Linked DNA regions of Nothobranchius furzeri. The protein of the gene in region 1 purifies or fractionates together with the protein of each later gene. This does not show direct contact. Links are inferred from orthologs where the notes say so. Each region holds a gene or a part of one and is shown on either strand. Other genes may lie near its edges. The genes, in order: afg2b and timm13.

What was found.
Region 2: the proteins of afg2b (region 1) and timm13 purify together in Homo sapiens (co-immunoprecipitation; 3 studies listed by BioGRID and IntAct, with this or other methods). This does not show direct contact. The link is inferred for Nothobranchius furzeri from reciprocal best matches to the Homo sapiens genes AFG2B and TIMM13.

What each region holds. Positions count from the first base shown.
Region 1 is NC_091749.1:43,208,342-43,212,266, reverse strand, and holds the start of afg2b (ATPase family gene 2 protein homolog B), read right to left. Parts: upstream 2,769-3,925; 5' UTR 2,633-2,768; coding exon 2,039-2,632; intron 1,976-2,038; coding exon 1,790-1,975; intron 1,443-1,789; coding exon 1,158-1,442; intron 1,079-1,157; coding exon 893-1,078; intron 798-892; coding exon 639-797; intron 565-638; coding exon 355-564; intron 282-354; coding exon 57-281; intron 1-56. UniProt on the Homo sapiens protein: ATP-dependent chaperone part of the 55LCC heterohexameric ATPase complex which is chromatin-associated and promotes replisome proteostasis to maintain replication fork progression and genome stability.
Region 2 is NC_091748.1:58,303,443-58,307,056, reverse strand, and holds timm13 (mitochondrial import inner membrane translocase subunit Tim13), read right to left. Parts: upstream 2,383-3,614; 5' UTR 2,244-2,382; coding exon 2,124-2,243; intron 1,871-2,123; coding exon 1,802-1,870; intron 1,165-1,801; coding exon 1,066-1,164; 3' UTR 818-1,065; downstream 1-817. UniProt on the Homo sapiens protein: Mitochondrial intermembrane chaperone that participates in the import and insertion of some multi-pass transmembrane proteins into the mitochondrial inner membrane.

The DNA.
Region 1 (3,925 bases):
GTATTACACAAGTCCCACTGTGCTGAAGCGGTGTGATGTCATCAGCATCATACGACCTCCTCTGTGTGAGTCTCCTGCACTCCCTCTGTCTGGAGGATTTTTCCTGTTCCTCTCCTTTCCAGCACCCTCAGGCCGATCCCGTCCATCTCATTCAGGAGAACAGACAGCAGGCGGGTCTGCACGCTGTTGGGGGTTTGATTGTTCGACCGCGAACCAATCAGAGAGTCTATCTCATCCAGGAACAGGATGCAGGGAGCACAGGAGCGGGCCTGGCGAAACAGCTACACGAGCACAAGCAGATTGATAAAAGCAGGTCTGATGTCTGCAGGTCGCTGATTTTAAAAGTTTATGTACCAGAGCTAAAGCTTTTTCTGAGTCTCCGACATAAGAGGAGTACAGGTCAGCCCCGCTGACAGACAGGAAGGCACAGTGGGAGAAGGAGGCGGCAGCTTTCACCAGCGTCGTCTTTGCACATCCTGGCGGTCCATAAAGCAGAACGCCATGGGGCCGACTCAGTCCTAGACGCACAAACGCCTCGGGGTACCTCATGGGCCACTCAATGCTCTTTAAAAGGCAATATGGAGAGGAGGTTTTGAGTGTTATAGTTTCAGTCACCCCCCCCCCCCCCATTTAGCTACCTGTCTTAGTTTGACTTTGACCTGATCCAGGCCTCCTATGTGCTCCCACAACACGGAGGACAGCTCCGTCCGGCCAAGGCTGCTCCTCAAGCTGGAGGGATGCACGGACTTCAGAGCCTCCAGGAAGTGTTTCATCTCCACCTCCTGCTTCCCTGAACCCTGCAGACATAACAACAACAACGAAGCTTAAGATGCATGTAGAGAATTCACAGAAACAGTTCAAATGTCATTGTTCTGCTTCAGTGCCAGTTTACCTTCACTTTTTGCCTTAAAGCGTGCATGGCCGCCTCCCTGCACAGAGCACTCAGGTCGGCCCCAACGTACCCTGTGGTGATTTGTGCAAGTTCTGTCATGTTGAGCCTGGGACACACAGGCATCCTCTCACACAGGACGGTCAGGATGGCCTTTCTCTGCTGCACGGTTGGAGCACCAATAATGACCTGGAGGAGAGACAAACACTCACAGCTCAAAGCTTTATTCTGTTTCTAATTCACTCTGATAAACACATTTAAAAAGTACCTCTCGGTCAAATCTCCCAGGCCTCCGCAGCGCTGGGTCCAAACTGTCAGGGCGATTAGTGGCTCCTACGATGAGGAAGCGGTCAGACCGATTCATCCCATCCATCAGTGTAAGCAGCTGAGCCACCAGCCGGTTCTCTGGTGCAGACGAGCCGGTTCTCCTGGGAAACAACGAGTCCAGCTCATCTAAGAAGAGCACACAGGGACCCTCTTCTGCTGCTGATCGAGCACGCTCAAACACAGCCCGCAGCGTCTCCTCGCTCTCGCCCGGTCGAGATCCTACCACCTGGAAGAACAGTTCACCACCAATAAATCAGATGTAAATGAGAACAGCCATTTCAATCTGCACTAAATAACCTTTCTGCTGGGTTAAACGTTGCTGTTTGTTTTGTCTCTAGTATAAAAGTATAGTATAAAAGTCTGTATAAGCCGTCAACATTAATAGTTTGCGCAACAGAATGGCATCTGAAAAAAATGTATTTGCCTCTTTGACTTTTCTTCTGTCATGTAGCTTTATTTAAATTCTTGACCATTTCAGTAAACTTATATATTTCCTGTGTGTAAAATATGACTTCCTGACAGTGTTTTATTGTTTTGCTACTCATCCATATCAGTGCAAACACACAGTAGTACCTCTGGCCCTCGGACCACCACCAGGCTGGCTCCCACCTCCCCAACCACCTTGTGGACCAACAGGGTTTTGCCGACTCCAGGAGGCCCGATCAGCAGAACGCCCCTGGGGCAGGACACCCCCAGGGAGCTGAGGGTGTTTGGGTACATCAGGGGCAGCTGCAGCATCTCTCTCAGAGAAGCACTCACCTACAAAGGAAAACGGTTTCAGCTTTTATCACTATAATAGTAAGTTATGCTCAAACAGCTGACCTCGTCCAGTCCTCCCAGTGGGGGCGTGTGCTGGTCCAGTAGCTGGCTCTTGTAATGCCTGAGAGTCTGGATCCCGGATATCTCCACAGCTGTTTTTGAGGTAACCATACCTGCACTGTCAGAGTCCGGTCTGATTCCGTCTATAACAACAAACCTGATCTCTGTATCATAGTCCTCCATGTTTACCACATACTGCTTGTGAACATAAACACCCTTCAGCATGTCCTTCACGAGCTCATGAACAACCCAAGCGGGTGTGTGCTTCCTAAAGCCAGCGCTCTGCACCACCACCGTTACCTTAACTCCCCTCAGTTTAGGGCAGGACACAGGTGTGAGATGGCGTGGCTCCAGACTCAGGTGCACGGGAGGCTGAGAGATCAAAGTGGGAGCGATACACTTCAGGTCCATCTGCAGGAACCCCTCCGCCAGGTCCGAACGGGGCCAGGCGGTACAGAGGCAGCTCCCCCCGGGAACAGACACCAGCAGAGGAGAGCCTAGTCTCAGGCTTAGCGCCGACATCAAGCCCGGACCCAGCCGGCACCTCTGAGAGCCCCGGTCAGCGGGGTCCGGCAGCAGAAGCTTCACACGCTGCATCGTCCGCCAACAACATGAAGCGGGTAAAGATTAGAACAAGACTTTGTGGTTTTCAGTAGATTATCCTGTTTACAGCCGCCGTCATTCCTGCTCAGTCTGCATGAAAAACTGAGGAACTGAGTCTGCGCAGTGGAAACGTGGGTTTGAGTCTGCGGCTGCGCAGTAGAGTGAAATAGAAAGTCACGCCCACTGACGTAGACAAGTGTTTATATCGGTTTAGAAACATTTCTATTGTCCAGTCCTCAGGTGCCTCAGGCGTGATGGACTGAGACAGTTTTTGACCGTGTCAGGTGAATTTGGGAATTTATGGACACTATATTTTGTGAAACAAGTTAATAGATTACAACTCTTTTATTTGAATGAAAAGACTGAGGAGCACTCATTTTACACGTGCGTGCCAAATTATCACCAGTGGTGAATGAGATTCTACTGAAGAAACTTTGGTTTTAAAATTAGAGCTGAATAAAGAGACAGGAAATAGAAAATCATTTGAATTCAGTGACGTGCGGTGAGGTTCATGACTGGGGAGGCACCGACTGCTCTCAAGTAAGACTTACATATATGATCCCGAAATAAAAGTTTGTTTGCTTTTGACCTTGACTTAAATATGTTATTGTTTTAAAGCTTCTTGGTTATGATTTAATCAATTTGGCCCCACACGGGCTTCTTTTTAATTCTGTTATTTGTCTGCAGTTGGTGTAGAACTGTTGTTACAAATTCATTTGCCCTAACATTATAATCTAGTCCAGTTTAAAGTGTTTAAATGTTGGAGTTTTAGAGCTGGACAAGTTCAAACGTGGTCAAGATGACAAAAAACTACAGCATATGCGTTTCAATAAACTCATTAGGTAAATGCTTCACAACTCCCAAAGTTACAGGATAATGCAGAATAATCAAGTCCGTTTCTGGTGTTTAACCCTCTGTCGGTGGTGTGACTACTGGTAGCCGTTTTGACAAGTTTTAGTGTTCACCTTTAAATTAAACCATATTTTACTGTTAATGCCTTGTTTGGTATCATTCTTTTCAGCAAAACCTCGTCTATGTGCATTTAGTCATTTCTTCATTTTGTCATACTGTATTAGCTCACTGAACCTGAAAGTAAACAAAATAAAATAAAAATCCGAGTTGAATAAAATGACATATTTATTGCAGTGAAAACGACGAACATTTGTAACGAACCTTTTTCAGCACTCAGAATAAAACTATTGGGTGTGAGTAAAACACAAAAAATGCATGTCTAATATAGCAAACAACAGTTAAGTGCAAGTTTTTTTTGCATACAAATGCAATGTC
Region 2 (3,614 bases), on another chromosome or scaffold:
GATGAAAATGACATGAATCTACTTCAAATAAGTCGTTCCCTGAACTGAGGTTGATCAAATGAAATTTGCTTTTGATTTTTAAGTTTCAATTTTATTATTGATGAGAAGTAAATAAGCAGTCTGACCAACATTTTTTCGTTCATTAAACCATTTCTTTCAGGTACAATCACATTACAGGAAGACGTTAGCGGGCTTTTGCTCACTCAGTGAGTGGTAGCTGCGGCCATACATCGGACACCTGCACCATTTCAGCTGAGGAAGGTGCTGCAGAGTGAGACAGACCTCTGCTGAAACAAGTCCACTTCTGTGGATGGCAGCAGATAGAGTGACACGGGAAACGTGTCAGACAAAACAGTTTTGTTCTCCAGCTGTACTTTGATATAGGCTGCTCAGAGGGTTGTAAATGTCAGAATCACAGCTGTGAAAACAAAAAATGTGCTTCTCAAGTCCTCCTGAGTTTGGAAAATCCCTTCCAAAGGAAATAAAGTTTAACCCTACCAATAGCTCTACGTGGTTTTTGTTCATATTCTAGAGGATATAAGCGATGTAAGAACTCCATTATGGCTACACAAATTAATTTATGAAGAGGAGTGTAGTGACGACTTTCTCAGGATCCTAATTTACACAACCAGGATTTTTTCTAAATAATCCTGTCAATTTCAAGGACTGGGGTGTCAAAGTCAACCCGTAGAACAAGGCTTATCTGACTACATCAGCACATCAATGACCTGCTAACATAAAATCTAAAATGTCTTAGCAGCTATGTTTGCACTGGTCCACATCACCACGTTGAAGGAGTGCGCTGAAAAGGTCCAAAGAAGATACAAATAATTATACTTTATTGATGATCTGATTCTTAGAGCACAATTTTAAAATGTCCACAGACATTGTTACAGCTTGAAGTCCACAGGCCCCGTCTGCCTTCCTGTCCATGTGAGATGGTTTATGACACAAAGATGTCGTGCAGCTGCCATCATACACCTGTGTCCACAGTTCTGGGCCTCCAGGATTGCAACGTGCTGGTCTTTATAATCAGCAGCAGCTTGATGAAAGGGAAAATAATCATCACATGCGAGCTCTTTCCCTCTGCAACCTGGAGTTGTATGTCCGAGACACTGTGTTCCAGGCATCCATATATCGGTCCATACACATGGCAATACATTTCTGTGGAAGAAAAGGCAAAAAGGTTAAGGTTTCTAGAAAAACATGAAACAAAAATCAGGATATTGTGGGAAACTCATCTGACTCATTGTTCAAAAAGATGCTGTTAGGGTTTCATTATGGCTCAAAAATAAATAGATGGATTAGCCACAATAAAGTTGTGATGCAATGTGCTACTTAAAGAGCAAGTCACCCCCAAATAAACTTTTTTTCTGATAAACTATATAGATGTGTGTCTAGTCGTGCTGCAGACACGTGCAGTTAATAGTTTTGTACTTTAGTGCATTTTAGTTAAAATAGCAATTTTCTGCCTAAAACTGTCAGTGTTGTGCCGTTGTCAGGTATAAACTCTGCACTGCATTAGGATTTAAATCTGCCATCGCTATTGGCTAAGAGGTATGTTATGATGTAAACTGGTTCTTATGATGTCACAATGCCGTTGTGAGCCTGTGTGTGTGTGTATTTGTTAGCGGCTCCGCCCTCTCGGTCTGCTAGGCAACAGCATTTGTTGCATTATTCAAACATGAAGAGGGAGTGAAGTAAGTTTCTTGTAGGGGGTGACTTGCTCTTTAAAGAGAATTAATCCGCTTTTAGTGACATTGTTAGTCTGAATGGGAAAATAAAGGAGTTTAAACCATACCTGTTCAGAGTTGTCCAAGGAGCTCCCTGGTTTACCTATACACTTCTTGAAGCATTTATCGGTCATTCTCTAAAACATAAAAATATTGTAGTAACGTGAGCAGCTCAGAATGTTTCACCAGTTTAACAATAAAACACAGTGGTGAATTAGAATAAACACCCATACTGGGGTCATTTTAAGTGTTTGAAACGGATTTCCATGTACCGCTTGTAACATAAAGTGTAATCTATCCAAACAACTTGCTGACAACATCAATGAATCAGTTTGAAATAAACTAACTGCTCTGCGAGTATTAGCTTGGCGTTGGGGTCCAGTGATTTACCTGCAGAAGCTCTTGCGCGTTAGCCACCGCTATTTGGACCTTAACCTGCTCCATGATGGTACTCGTGTCCATCTTCCCGCCGGAACCTCCTGCTGAGAAGTCTGAACCAAACCCGTCCATTTTTATCGGTGTTCTACTTAAAACGGTGACTTTGTAAGGAATATATCAGCTACACGTGCAAACAGCTAATGCTAACTTTATTTCACGGCAGTTTTCAATGTCCTTGACTGAGGCGGATGTGAAATAACGTCACTTCCGTCGAAGCAGCTGTATCCTGGGAAAACGAGTTTTTCAAAGCATGGTTGGTCGCCGCACTTTCCTCTCAAAATTCACGTGAAAATGGAAAAATGAGAATACGGTGCAAATGTTAATTTATTCAACAATTCTACTTAAAAGGTGGAAATAATATAGATTAATCAAATATTTCAAGTCTTTATTTGTTAAAATTACGATGATTATTTCTTACAGCTGATGAAAAGCCCAGATTCAAAACATCAGAAAATTGAATATTGTAAAAAGGTTCAACATTCTAGACTTGAAGTGTCGCTCTCTAATCAGCCGATGGATCCAAGGAGTTCCTGAGCCTTTATGCTCTCCCACTCTAAGTTGAATTGCCGAAAGAAATGGACTTTTGCACAATGTTCTGTTTTATTTTGTTTGTTTTGTTTGTTTGTTTGTTTTGTTTTGTTTTGTGTCCCACCGTAATTACTTAAAGAATTTATGTCCATGGCCGCACTTTCTATGCCAGAAGTGGAAGCAGGCTACCTTTGACTCATTTGACTTATTGAGATTGTTAAAAATATTTGTTAGAGAGTTTTTACTACTTTTTAAAATTTAAATATTGATTTTCTTAATTATATTTATTAGTAATAAAGAATTTATTCAGCTCAAGATATTTTACTCTTTTCATTTTATAAACAGGCCTGAGGATGTAACTAGGTCTATCTTATATCTGTAATCTATACATTAACACAATGAAATTTTAGCAGTCAGCAAGAAAAAAAGTTTACATCTGAAGTAAATTTTAGCGTTGAATCACAACAACAATGAATAATTCTATAATCTCAAATGATCATGTCTTATAGAATCAAATTAAAGTGTATTTTAATTAACTTTATATGTATTGTTTTATTTAAGAGAAAAGTAGCACACTGGAGAAGGTTTTAGCCCGTTATTGGCAGTATTGCAAAATTAAAAAGTCAACCTATTGCTCACCACACTGTTGCAGCAAATCATGCAGGAGTCCTTTGGCTTCAAAAATTTTGTTATAATCAAACACAAGGAGGCGCTAAAAGATAATACTTTTGTTTAGATTATTTAGAATTCATGTATGATCACCACTTAATATGAGGAGCATTGTAAATTGTTTTAGGTGAGAGTTTTATCATGATATGATCAATAAAATGCAACAGACAAAAAGGCTAGCCACCACTATCTTCCTCAGAAAAATTCTCTTTGATTTTAAACAAAGTCCCAGACGAGTCTGTTTTC